3 linked regions of the Sus scrofa genome follow. The protein of the gene in region 2 interacts with the protein of the main gene of each other region in a biochemical or structural test. Links are inferred from orthologs where the notes say so. Each region holds a gene or a part of one and is shown on either strand. Other genes may lie near its edges.

Evidence for each region.
Region 1: of the proteins of RRAD (region 2) and PRKACA, one has a biochemical effect on the other in vitro, tested with the Homo sapiens proteins (2 studies listed by BioGRID). The link is inferred for Sus scrofa from reciprocal best matches to the Homo sapiens genes RRAD and PRKACA.
Region 3: of the proteins of RRAD (region 2) and CAMK2G, one has a biochemical effect on the other in vitro, tested with the Homo sapiens proteins (2 studies listed by BioGRID, with this or other methods). The link is inferred for Sus scrofa from reciprocal best matches to the Homo sapiens genes RRAD and CAMK2G.

The regions. Positions count from the first base shown.
Region 1 is NC_010444.4:65,088,034-65,092,430, reverse strand, and holds part of PRKACA (cAMP-dependent protein kinase catalytic subunit alpha), read right to left. Parts: intron 2,896-4,397; coding exon 2,769-2,895; intron 2,677-2,768; coding exon 2,581-2,676; intron 2,483-2,580; coding exon 2,360-2,482; intron 1-2,359.
Region 2 is NC_010448.4:27,601,972-27,606,841, reverse strand, and holds the start of RRAD (GTP-binding protein RAD), read left to right. Parts: upstream 1-1,714; 5' UTR 1,715-1,817; exon of another isoform or gene 1,818-1,871; intron 1,872-2,037; 5' UTR 2,038-2,052; coding exon 2,053-2,422; intron 2,423-3,311; coding exon 3,312-3,385; intron 3,386-3,501; coding exon 3,502-3,706; intron 3,707-4,515; coding exon 4,516-4,793; 3' UTR 4,794-4,870. UniProt on the Homo sapiens protein: May regulate basal voltage-dependent L-type Ca(2+) currents and be required for beta-adrenergic augmentation of Ca(2+) influx in cardiomyocytes, thereby regulating increases in heart rate and contractile force.
Region 3 is NC_010456.5:76,567,990-76,572,386, reverse strand, and holds part of CAMK2G (calcium/calmodulin-dependent protein kinase type II subunit gamma), read left to right. Parts: intron 1-192; coding exon 193-247; intron 248-1,121; coding exon 1,122-1,187; intron 1,188-3,670; coding exon 3,671-3,743; intron 3,744-3,888; coding exon 3,889-3,991; intron 3,992-4,397.

The sequences.
Region 1 (4,397 bases), on a different chromosome or scaffold from region 2:
TGAGCTGTGGTGTAGGTTGCAGACATGGCTCAGTTCTGGTGTTGCTATGACCGTGGCATAGGCTGGCAGCTGCAGCTCCAGTTCTGATTCAGTGCTAGCTGGGTATTTCCATATGCTGCAGGTGTGGCCCTAAAAAGAAAAAAAAATTGGGAGCTGCAGCTGCTGGCCTAGGCCACAACCATCGCCACAGCAACACTGGATCCGAGCTGCATCTGCGACCTACACAGCAGCTCACAGCAACACCAGATCCTCAACCTGAGCAAGGCCGGGGATTTAACCTGCATCCTCATGGACACTATGTTGGGATCCTAACCCACTGAGCCACAGCAGGAGGTTTCCATTTCAGAGAAGAGTAAACTAAGGCTTGGATGGAGTAAACAGCTTGCCCAAGGTCACACAGAGGAACAAGACAAGGTGGTCCATCTTGGATCTGCTGGACTCCAGAACTTGCATTCTCAGCCAGTGCTTCCTAAGGCAGCTCTGCTGGGGTCTGGGGACTTCTGAAATATTCATGATTCTGAAAGAAATAATTATTTTTCTTTCTTTCTTTCTTTTTTTTTTAGGGCCACACCTGCGGCATATGGACGTTCCCAGGCTAGGGGTCTAATTGGAGCTACAGCTGCCAGCCTATGCCACAGCCACAGCAATGCTGGATCGGTACCGCGTCTGCCACCTACACCACAGCTCACGTCAATGCCAGATCCTTAACCCACTGAACAAGGCCAGGGATTGAACCCGCAACCACATGGTTCCTAGTCAGATTTGTTTCTGCTGCGCCACGACAGGAACTCCAGAAATAATTATTTTTCTATTTCTCTCTCTCTCTGCATAGCTAAGGCTCTTCCATTCCTTAAGGCCCAGTTCAACTCTTCCAGAAACTTTCCCCAAATGCTTTGTGCCTCTAACCTTGTATGCAAGCAATCACTGAATTTACGGCCACAAGAACCAACTTCCAGTATTGCTCTGCCTCTTATATGCTGTGTGACCTTGGCTACGGCCCTTAACCTCTCTGGGCCTGTGCCTGCCTCTTTGGCATGGGGCAGATATCCCAGGGTTGCATGAGGGAGATAATCCTGCTGAGGGTGCGTGGGAACCATAAAACGTTACAAAGAAAGGAGTTGTGCTCAGCTTCTCCTCTCCCCCATTGAAACTTTCTATGGCTTTTTTTTTTTTATTCCCCCCCTACTCTGGGCCATTTTCTTGGTAACTTCTATTCTGCCTGATGGCAGACACCTCATCATTCCCTTTTTCAGTGACCCTACTTGACAGATGGGGATTCTCTCAACCTGAGAGGCCCATGGCTAGTTCTCCAGTTCTGAGATGATTAAGATGAGACTCAGAGAAGCAAAGCCATTGGCCTGGGGTTTCACAGCTGATGAATGGCAAAGCTGGAACTTAACAGTCAGGCCAACCCGCCCAGGCTGAGCTGCCAGCTACTCCATTTCCTGGGCCAGATGAAGGGATGGCTGGTCCTTCTGGTGAAGGTGAGGTGGGCAAGCAGAGGGCAGAGGTAGGGTTCCTCTGCCTCTCTCCAGCTGCTGCTGCCATGTGATCTCAAACCAGACATGTCTGCTCTCTGCACCTCAGCTTCCTCACTCCCTCGGAGTGCTGGGGTACGACGAACCCAGGAGGTGCATGGGGGCAGCTGGCACTTAATGCATCCTGGGCTCTAACAGTTGTGCCATCCCTCACCCATGTGCTCCGAAAAAGTCTGTATTTGGGAAAGGAGGTGGGGGGGTGGGATAGCACCTGGGAACTGAATGTACTTGCCTTTTTTTGTGTGTGTCTTTTTAGGACTGCACTTATGGCATATGCTAGTTCCCAGGCTAGGGGCTGAATTGGAGCTACACTGCTGGCCTATGCCACAGCAACATTGGATCTGAGCCACATGTGGACCTACACCAAAGCTCAGAGCAATGCCAGATCCTTAACCCACTGAGCGAGGCCAGGGATCCAACCTGCATCCTCATGGATACTAGTCAGGTTCATTAACTGCTGAGCCATGACAGGAACTTCTGTACTCGATTTTCTGCTGAGAAGTTTGTGAAAACTCACCCTAAGGACGACCAGACTAGACTAGAGGCGAGAAGAGCCTCATGTTGAGCCAGGCAGGAGTTTGGGTGAGGCTGAGGGTTTTGGATACCTGTGGGATTTTGGCACTGTGGGTCCTAGAATCAGCCACCAAGGCTGTGTGAAGTGGTGGCTTTAGTTAGTGTGGCAAGTGGTGTGCCTGGTATCACCCCCTGGCCGGGCTTAATGAACCTCTAGATTGTTGTGACAATGCATAGGGCTCCATGGAGAGCAGGATGGGTGGGCAAGGGGTCTGTCTGGGGGCCAAGCCCCTGAATCCAGGCCTCACCTTCCCGGAGACAATCTTCTCGTAGATCTGGATGGGCTGGTCAGCGAAGAAGGGCGGGTAGCCAGCGGCCATCTCATAGATGAGAACCCCCAGGGCCCACCAGTCCACAGCTTTGTTGTAGCCCTGGAGTGAGGGGGGTGTGCAGGTGAGGGGAGAAGGGTGAAGCGGGGGCGCTGGCGGAGCCGGTCTCAGGGTGGTGGGAGGGGTAGGGAAGCGCCTACTTTACTCAGGATGATCTCAGGGGCCAGGTACTCGGGTGTCCCACACAAAGTCCAGGTGCGGCCTTTCACACGTTTGGCAAAACCGAAGTCTGTCACCTGTGGGCACAAGAACAGGCAGTTGGTGGGGAGGCAGGGAGGATTCACGCCACAGTCACCTGGGGCTGCCCCTCCCCTGGCCCAGTGGGCACCTGAATGTAGCCCTGCTGGTCGATGAGAAGGTTCTCCGGCTTCAGGTCCCGGTAGATGAGATCAAGCGAGTGCAGGTACTCGAAGGTCAGGACAATCTGGGCCGCGTAGAAGCGGGCATGGGGCTCACTGATGGGGACAAGAGGGGAGAGGATGGGTGGGTGAGGGTGGACACAGCAGCAGGACCTCCTGCAAATGGTCCAGCAAGTGAGCCTGGAGAGGTGCCTCCAGCCTAGCTATCAAAAATGCATCAGTATTAAAAAAAAAAAAAAAAAAAAAAAAAAAAAAAAAAAAAAGAGTTCCCATCGCAGCACAGGGGAAATGAATCTGATTAGGAACCATGAAGTTGCGGGTTCAATCCCTGGCCTTGTTCAGTGGGTTAAGGATCTGGCGTTGCTGTGAGCTGTGGTGTAGGTTGCAGACCCGGCTCGGATCCTGTGTTGCTGTGGCTATGGTGTAGGTGGCAGCTATAGCTCTGATTTGACCCCTCGTCTGGGACCCTCCATATGTTGCGGCCCTAAAAAGCGGAAAAAAAAAAAAAAAAAAAAAAAAAGACCATCAGCAGGATTTCCCATTATGGCTCAGCGTGTTAAGATCCTGACTAGTATCCATGAGGATGTAAGTTCAATCTCTGGCCTCACTTACTGGGTTAAGGATCTGGTGTTGCCACAAGCTGCGGTGGAGGTTGCAGATGTGGCTCAGATCTGGCGTTGCTGTGGCTATGGGGCAGGCAGGCAGCTATAGCTCTGATTCGATTCCTAGCCTGGGAACTTCCATATGCCTTGAGTGCAGCCCTAAACAGAAAAACACAAAAAGCAAAAACAAAAACAAAACCACACACACACAAAAACCCAAAATGCATCAGCAGAGCAGCCTTATTCACATATAGCTCTAAAATGGAAACAGCCCAAATGTCCATCCACAGAGAAATGGAATCCCAGATTTCGAAAGCTTCATACAATGGAATCCTACCCAACACCACCTCCAGGACAAACGATGAATATACCCAATGGTGTGGCTGGATCTCAAAGTGATTATGGAAGGCATGAGAAGAAAGGACAGAAGAATGTGAACTGTGTGATTCCATTTATATTGAGTCCAGACTTGGACCAAACACATTTACGGTGCTTACAGCCAGAAAGGACATTTGCCTTTGTTGGGGCAGCGATTTGCCAAGAAAAGTATTTGAGGGAATTTCTTGGGGTAGTGGTTACATAAGTGCATGTAGCTGTCAAAACTCACGGGACAGATCATTGAAAACCTGTGCATTTTCTTGTGTGTAAAGTGAGTATCTGTATAAAGAAATACAATGAGGAGTTCCCGCTGTGGCTCAGCAGTAACGAATCTGACTAGTAACAAATCTGAGTAGTATCTGTGAGGATGCAGGTTCGATCCCTGGCCTCACTCAGTGGGTTAAGGATCCAGTGTTGTTGTGACCTGTGGCGTAGGTCGCAGACGTGGCTCGGATCTGGTGGTGTTGTGGGTGGTGGCTATGGCTCCAATTGGACCCCTAGCCTGGGAATTTCCATATGCTTCAGGTGTGGACCTAAAAAACAAACAAACAAACAAACAAAAAAGAAATAAAATGAAACGACAGGATAAATTTAAAAACAATATAAACTCGCCCACTC
Region 2 (4,870 bases):
GAGGCTTTTGTTCTTTGACAGGAGGCTCTACCCATGACTCCCTCTTCCCACTGGACCTCATCCAGGAAGCTAGAACCAGCACGGAGTTGCCTAGGCCTCCAAGCCACCCCCCCACTCCCCAATCCCCTACCCCCACCCAGGGCATGTAAAGAACACAAATGGACAGACCATCCCCCAGTCCAGGCCTTGCCTACTCTTGGGACTTAAAGAACCAGAGGGGCCTGCATGAACCCCTAAAACTTACCTAACCAGGCCCTCCTCATTCCAAGGCCCTCTCAGATGTTGCCAAGGAAACAGACACAGCAGCCAGAGAGCCTTGACCCAGGTTTCCATGACAACCTAGAGGCCCACTAGGATCCATCCATCCCTGATGTCACCTGAGCCCTGAATGGGTACCCCTCACCCCCACCAGACTCATCACAAATAAACGTCAGACTGATAGCAAGTACCTGTCCCAAAGCGCCTCACAGCTTGCGTGCCCTCAATCGTCACACACCCTAAATGTGAGCAAGGCAGCTTGTGGCTGGGCACCCTGAGGCTGGGAGGGAGGCAAGACCTAGGAGCCTGAAGGCAGATTCAGGACTGGAAACCAAGCCTCCCCTCTGCGCCCCGGCACCCTCCCTAGGTCTGAGGAGGGACTGATTTCTCTGAGCAGTGGTAGCTAACCCACCCCTACCCACCTACTCTACAATGGTGCCCCTCCTGGATGGGAGTCTGAACCTCCAGATCCTGGAAGTGCCTAGAACAGCAGCCCCAGTCTAAGGCTAAAGGGAGGGAAGGAACATTGAGGACTCAGAGTGGCTGGAGCCAGACCTGACCCTGGTCCAGTTCCACCCCTATCCGCTTCTGCTGGCATCTGACACCTGTCTGCCAGGATCTCCCCAACTTTGGGCAACCTCCAGCCCAGGAGCTGAACGACCAGGGCCAGGTATTTTTAGCAGAGTTGCTGGCAGCTGCCTGGAGGGTATGGAGGTGGGGGAGGTGGTGCTGAGTTCATCCTTTTCCTTCTCAGGGCCTGTACTCCCTCCCCAGGATTCAAGCTTGCACCTTTACCTGCAGCACACTGCCAAGAGGGCCGCCCTTCCCCGCCCACCTCCTCCAAACAGCTCTCCAAGTGTCCTAGGGGTTCAGGTGACACTAACCCTTATCCTGAAGGGCAGGGCCATCAGGTAAAATCTTCAACTCCCAAGGGCAGGGAGGACAGTGGGAAGGACCTGGGGTGGAGGCTAGAAGCCCGGATTTAGGACCTCTAATGTCTTGCTCAGATATGGGCCAGCGGGGAATGGGCAGAGAAGGATGAAGTCTGTCCCACCTGTAACTGGTCTGCTTGCTCAGGCAACAGGCGGGAGGGAAAGGAGAATTCACTTTTAAAGGACGAGACCTCCTTCTTCCCTAGAGGGGTCTTGACGCACTTGGCTGGTCCCCCACCCCCTTGTCCCCACCCGTGAACCCCCCCAACTCCTCCGCACCATTCATACACTCCCCCTCCCTCTCGCTCCTTCCCGGCCCCCCTCCCCATACACACACTCGGGCTCTTTTGTCTGCGGAGTCGGGCGGGGCGTCGGTGGCGGAGTCTGCTGGGCGGGCGGGGCGGGGTCTGAGTGGGTGCGAGGCCCTGGGAGGAGGGTGGGGGTGGGGGATTCCCCTGGGGGGAGGGGGGCAGACACGTCACCCCCGCACCGCGTGGACGGGGGCGAGCGCGGGGGCGGGGGCGGGGGCGGGCAGAGGCTTAAATAGGCGTCTCTGGCGGCCAGACCCAGTGTGGACTGAGAAGGCGGCGGCGGCTGCGGCAGCGTCGAGGGTCCGCGCCTGGGGCTGTGAGTGGATTGTATCCGACCTACCTAGTCCTGACCGTGTCCGTGCGTGAGTGGGTGAGGGTCCTGGCAGGGCGGGGTGGGGGGGGTCGCACCGTCTGGGATGGATGAGTCAGGAGGAGGGGTCACAGGTCCTTGAACCCAATCATCTTGCTGAGCCGGGTCGGGTCCAGGCTCCATTTCCACCGCGGCTTACGCGGCCATCCCGATTCCCGTTGCCCAGACGGCGTCCGAGACGATGACTCTGAATGGCGGCGGCAGCGGAGCCGGCGGGAGCCGCGGCGGGGGCCGGGAGCGCGAGCGCCGTCGGGGCAGCACACCCTGGGGCCCGGCGCCCCCGCTGCACCGCCGAAGCATGCCGGTGGACGAGCGCGACCTGCAGGCGGCGCTGGCTCCGGGCGCTCTGGCAACGGCCGAGGCCGGGACCGCGGCCCAGGGTCCGAGGCTGGACTGGCCCGAGGGCTCCTCTGACTCGCTCAGCTCCGGAGGCAGCGATTCAGACGAGAGCGTTTACAAAGTGCTGCTGCTGGGGGCCCCTGGTGTCGGCAAGAGCGCTCTGGCGCGCATCTTCGGTGGAGTAGAGGATGGGCCTGAGGCGGAGGCTGCAGGTGAGGGGCTGGGACTCCAGGGGAGGGGAGGCCGGGTTAGGGCCGAGGGCTAAAGGACTGATCAGGATTGAAGCAGCAAATACCAAAGGGACTTTTTTTTTTTTTTGAGGGCCGCACTTGCGGCATGTGAAGTTCCCAGGCTAGGGGTCAAACAAATCGGAGCTACAACTGCTGGCCTACACCACAGCCACATCAACACAGGATCCGACCTATATCACAGCTCACAGCAATGCAGGATTCTTAGCCCACTGAGAGAGGCCAGGGATCGAACCCATCTCCTCAGGTTCATTATGGATGAGCCATGACAGGAACTCCCACCAAAGGGATTCTGAAGGCGCTTTGAGAAGCTGCCTCCACCTACCCATTTCAGATGGGGACAGTGGAAGAAGGTACCCCCCAGCCTTTAGTTAGGAAATGCCTCAAGTAGAAGGTTCAGAGCATAGGTGTGATTACTCTGTAGGATGGAAACAGAACATCCCTCCCTGCCAGGACCAGCAAGAACACAGCCAGAGGAGTTTCTAGGAGAGGAGTCCTAGGTAACCAAGGTCCCCAGGGGACACTTGTTCTAACTCAGGTCGTTGTGGTCAGAACCACCCGGGGTCCCAGGCAGCAGGAGGTCAGGCAACACAGGAGCGGCCCCCTGGGGACATTGCCACCTTGGAGAAGGGATATCCAGGGGCAAGGTCAGGCACACCATGCCCTCCACGGCTCCCCCCTACCATTCTTCAGCCCTGTCACTTCTGTTGTCACAGCAGTCATCAGTGGAGGGAAGGTTAGAGGAGCTCTGGGGAGGAGTTGGAGGTTGTGGCCAGAGCAGAAAGCCTGGTGGCATGGAGGAGGGGGAGCTTTTGGCAGCCAGCAGGTAACCTGACTACCGGTCTCTTGCCAGGGCACACGTATGATCGCTCCATCATGGTGGACGGAGAAGAGGCATCGCTCATGGTCTATGACATCTGGGAGCAGGTAGGACGCAGGCTGAGGGCCAGGGCAGGGTTGGGGTAGGGGCTACAGGGAGTGACAGCCTTGTAGCTGGGGCATGAGGACTATTGGGTATATTTGTGTGTGTCTGTATTTGCTAGGATGGGGGCCACTGGCTACCTGGCCACTGCATGGCCATGGGAGATGCATATGTCATCGTGTACTCAGTGACAGACAAGGACAGCTTTGAGAAGGCCTCAGAGCTGCGGGTCCAGTTGCGGCGGGCTCGACAGACAGACGACGTGCCCATCATCCTAGTGGGCAACAAGAGTGACCTGGTGCGCTCTCGTGAGGTCTCCTTGGATGGTGAGCAGAGAGTGGGTCGGAAAGGGAGGGAGATCCTGGCCGGGCTGTGGTCCCCTCGGCCTTAACTCAGCTCAAGGGCCTGGGGACCATTGCTGGCTAAAATGTTCAGGAAGAAAAGTCAGGGAGAGCGGAGCAGAGCTTCTGCCCTCCCATAGGTCTCCCAAAGGCCTGAGTGCTGGGGAAGAACCGATGTGCTAGGGCGGGGAGAGGCTGCTGGGCTGGGCTGGGCCACCTCAGGGCCCTTGTCTCCTGTCCCCTTTGGCCCTGGCCTGGCAGATGAGGGCTGAGGAGAATGCAGGGAATCAGGCCAGGGGGTCCGAGCCTGGATTCCAGGCCCGGACCAGCCTTGCCCCCGGGGAGGACCCACCCCTCTTGGACCCAGCATCCTCCTCTCTGGTGCTCAGACCTGAGTCCCTCAGAGGAACCTAGCAGTAATATTCCCTTTGTTCCACCCTCCTTCCTCATGATATAACATCAAGCCATGAAACAGTAAGCTGTCCCACAAAGTTATTTCCTGTGTTGGCTACTGCAGCACTCCATTTAAATATCAGACCCCAAATGTTTTTTGATAAATGAGTCTCCTTTGTGAGCCCCTTAAACCCAGGCACATTCTGCCATTTGGGTGACCCAAGCAACATCCAGGATCCCCCATGCAGGAGTTGAGGTCATTGTGTTTCTGGCGAGGACCCCCAGGTCCCCTTTCCCTTACCCACAGATGTGGTAGCTGCCATGGGGTGGCCAGGGTTTGAGTGGGCTTCTCATTCCCCCACCATTTGTTTACTGATGTGTACCTGTCCCCACCCACACAGAGGGCCGGGCCTGCGCCGTGGTCTTCGACTGCAAGTTTATCGAGACCTCGGCTGCGTTGCACCACAATGTCCAGGCACTGTTCGAGGGTGTCGTGCGTCAGATACGCCTGCGCAGGGACAGCAAAGAGGCCAACGCACGTCGGCAAGCGGGTACCCGGCGGCGAGAGAGCCTCGGCAAGAAGGCGAAGCGCTTTCTGGGTCGCATCGTCGCAAGAAATAGCCGCAAGATGGCCTTGCGTGCCAAGTCTAAATCCTGCCACGACCTCTCTGTGCTCTAGGCCCGGAGGCACTCGCTGTGTTCTGCAGACGGATGGGCAGATTGGTGGGCTGGCCCAGCCAACCGCCCAAGTGCCTC
Region 3 (4,397 bases), on a different chromosome or scaffold from region 2:
GGGTCAGCTCCATGGCTGTGTCACCCTGGGCAAGGGGTGCTGGATGTGCAGCCCCCCTCTCAGGGCTGCTGCTTCAGGAGAGAGCCTGTGGGGCTGCCAGGATGGGGCAGGGCTGGGATGGCTGCGGAAGAGAGGAGTAGCATTTCCAAGTTTTCTCTCTGTTAATCTCTGTCCCCATCTCCTCTCTTGCAGTACGCCTCCATGACAGTATTTCTGAAGAAGGGTTTCACTACCTCGTGTTTGACCTGTAAGTGCCGCTTTTTGAGGGTGTGGGGGCCTTTCCCTCCAGCTGGCTCAAGAGGAAGGCTTGGAAAAAAGGCCAAAACTGGGTCTTCAGCCTCTGCCGAGGGTCCCTCTCCTTTGCCCGAGGAGAGGAGTTTGATTTTGAACTTCCTCTGGTAATGGGCAGGTTGCCCAGGGTCTCATTGCTCACTCAGAATCTCCCCAGGGCTCTGAACCCCGGGTTGGCATTGCTCTTGCATTTCCGTTCAGCAGCACACCTTGTGCAGTTGCTTTTTTCTTGTTTCTTGGTGTGTTGTCCTTAGTAGAGAAATAGAATGTATTAGCTCTTTGCATGACCGTAAAAATTCGGGAAAATGAAGGTACCTTTTTTTAGTTGTAAACTGGGCTCCCATTGGTCTCTCCTCCACTTTGGTTGTGGTTTAATATCTTAAAGGTGGCTCTTCACCTCCTGGAAATGCCCCTCCGGTATTTTCAGGGTTGGGTCTCTGTGTCCTTGGTCTCATTATTCTTCAGCTTCAGTAGTAGGTCTGTCCTTCTTGGGCAGCTGTATCTTAGCATTCATACCGGTCTCAAAAAAAATGATGACTGTTTGAGTGGGTCGATTATTTTCTCGTAGATGCCTGTGTATTCATCTCTATCAGAGTGTCAACTAATCTATAGGTTACAGGAACAGAAAAGTGCGAGAGAAAGGGTGGATCCATGTTGTCCCAAGGAGAAGCTCTACATCATTGAGGCTGGAGTATGTTCTGGGCTCTCAGATGAAATGCATGTGGTGTTGAGAGTTCTCTGAAAGCTGTTCTAGAGGATGTCCTGTTACCTGTTGGATGCTGGGTTCGGCCACCTGACCTGCCTCCTCTAACCCTCTTTGTTGGTTGCAGTGTTACTGGCGGGGAGCTGTTTGAAGACATTGTGGCCAGAGAGTACTACAGTGAAGCTGATGCCAGGTGAGAAGAGGGGCTTGTGGTTTAAGTGGCAACTTGACTACCTCAAGGGACCAGGCATTGTGCCTATTTGAATAGTCTTCAGGGAGATTAGAAGGGCTCTTATCTGGACAAAGACTGTGTAGAGCTGGACTCAGGCTCCGTTCTGTGGGCAATATTAGAAATTAAAATGCAGCATTCCCAGACTGATTTTTTTACAAAGCTCTTACAGATCTCCTTTACCCTCGCACACCAGAAATACCTTTTCTCTGCACCAGTGCATACTCATAAGTATGCCCAAGGGCCCTCCCTAGCCCCACTTCTCTCTTTGGACAAACCATGTCTCGAAGGAGTAGAAACATCTGGGTTAATAATCCAACCAGGAACCTTTCTGGGAGATTTCAGCCTGTATCACCTTGTGTCTTGACCACCATGACCAGCCTCCATTCGGGGCCTCTCAGGCTGGAGGACCATTCCTTGGCCACACCCCTCAGCCCCCAGTCCTCCAGGAGGCCCTGGCAGCTCCTTCATGTGACACAGCAGAATTCCTCCCACTCCACAGCTCTTGGGCGCTTGTTTGGGCTGCCTTTCCCTCCTCGGCTCCTCCCCCGGGCCCGAGTTTTCTCCAAGGGTGATGTCCTTACAACCTGATCTTGGTCTCTCCTGCCTGCAGCTTCTCAGGCAGATGTGGCAGCTCTGGCTGCTCGCAGGGTGGGGGAGCACAGCTTCCTCACAGATTTCTCAACCCTGAGAGGCCAATGTTTGCTGATCAACTTCAGATGCTTCAGCCTCGGGAAAAATTCTCAAGTGGGAGATGAATTCCAGTGCCAGCAGGGGAGGACCAGGCTCTGGGGCGGGAAGAGGCGGTGATAGTGCAGGGAGCCTGGCGGGGAGGAGGGAGAGCCGGGGCGGGTGACTGTACCAGTGGGCTTGGCCTGGCTCTGCTGGGACAGTTCGCACTTTTGCCATTTTTGGCCAGAAGGCTCTCCCTGCTAGCTTGGCTCTGTTCTAATTATACATTTCTGTGGAGACTCGCCTCTTCAGCTCAGTCTTAAAGTCTCTTTGCCCTGTTCCTGGGCCATGTCCTATAGAGAGGCCCAAACCTCAGCCTTTAGGAGCCCAGCAAGACCTCTTGGCTCTTGTGGAAGCCCTAGCATCAGATTTTAGAGAGAAGGAGTAATAAGTCCAGGTCACCAGCCCAGCACCCACTCCACACACTTGGTAGAACCGGCTCTGTTCCTCAGGCCGAGGCTCCTCAGTCTCAGCACTACTTACACTTGGGGCCAGATAAATTTTTGTTGTGAGTGTCCCACCTGTGCATTGTAGGTTTAGAAGCATCCCTGGCCTCTACCTGCTTGATACCGGTTGCACCCTTCCTCTCAGTAGTGATAACCAGCAGTGTCTCCAGGCATTACCCGAATTGCCCTGGGGGCCAGAATTGTCCCCTAGTTCTCACTAGTATTCTAGACTGCCAGCACACCCCTCCAGGAGTTTGCCTGCAAGTGTGACAGGATGGTTTGGAAGGTGGACAGCCTGATTGAAGAATCAGCAGCTAGGGAGTTCCCGTTGTGGCTCAGTGGAAATGAATCTGACTAGCATCCATGAGGATGCAGGTTCGCTCCCTGGCCTCGCTCAGTGGGTTAAGGATCTGGCATTGCCGTGAGCTGTGGTGTAGGTTGCAGATGCAGCCCGGATCCTGCGTGGCTGTGGCTTTGGCATAGGCCGGCAGCTACAGCTCCAATTTGACCCCTAGCCTGGAAACTTCCATATGCTGTGGGCGTAGCCCTAAAAAGACCAAAAAAAAAAAAAAAAGGAAGAATCAGCAGCTAAATGTGACTTTAGGTTAATTTATCCTTTTGTTTGCAAAATTGTTATCAGAAATGTTCCTCAGGTGCCTGTTGGAACCCCCTTAAGTACATTGACTATTGATAGGACCTGTGTCCTCATTTTATCTCCCCTGCTGGATGGTAAGCTTTAGGCCAGACACTGGGTCATTTTTATAGCTGATGTCCCCAGCACAAAGCCTATAGGTACCTGATAAATGCTTAAATAAATGATTTTTATACCCACCCCCAAAACAATTAGGCTTAGTTGGACTGTCCTTCCTAAGGTGCTACCACAGGCCTCTTCTCTAAGAACAGAGAAGGTCAAAGAGAAAGAAGGAAGGGGTTGGATGGTCTCTTTCTCAGTAGCCTGAGGTGTCCCCCAGTTTCTTGGAAACAAATGATATGTTGGGCCTTTACATTCTAAGGAGGCATGCTGAACCCTCTTCTAGGCTATCCACTGCTATTATCTAGTAGGAGACCCTGGACAAACCACTTAATCAGCTTGGGCCTTGGTTTCTTCTTCTGTAAAATAGTTTGAACAGATGGTATCCAAAGTCCAAGGTTCTAGTTTCTCATTCAGTGATTCTCTGTGAATCTGTGACCTAGAGTTCAGTGCTTTGGTCCACAGCATGTGGTCAAGGATGGTTTCACCTTGCACTGTCCTTTCCTCTTCTTTTCCAGCCACTGTATACATCAGATTCTGGAGAGTGTTAACCACATCCACCAGCATGACATCGTCCACCGGGACCTGAAGGTACGACCCAGGTTCCCTTTTGCCTCTTGCTTGTGAAGCCTTGGCGCCACCTGGTGCCAGGCGGTAGTATTGCCGGGGCCCAAATTAGGCTCCCTATGGGCTGCGGCGTGGGTGCCTCACAGGGTTCTCTCTCTTCCTTATACAGCCTGAGAACCTGCTGCTGGCGAGTAAATGCAAGGGTGCCGCCGTCAAGCTAGCTGATTTTGGCCTAGCCATCGAAGTACAGGGAGAGCAACAGGCTTGGTTTGGTAAGAGTGACCCTGTCTTCCTGGAATGCGGCCCCCGCCCTTCCTCCTCTTCCTGATCTGCCTTCCTCTTTGAGAACTAGAAGCCAGACCCTTAATGGTCCTGGCCTCCCCAGAGACTGGAGGAGGGGAGGGTGCAGAGCCCCCCCTGGCCCTACGTGACTCAGTACAGTGAATCTAGCTGCTGTCAGCACTGCGTTCTTGCTGCCTCTGGGGAGGATGGGAGTTGCTGGTAGACACACGGAGACTTGCCCTCTGATTTAGATTCTGGGCACTGCAAGAAGCCCGGCCTGTCATCTCCTGCTACCCACAGACCGAGAGCTTATGTAGCAAAAGCAGCAGAAGTGAGAAAGGACTTGGGGGAAATCACTGACGTGGATTTAATGAGAGAGAAAGTGGGTTCAGTGTG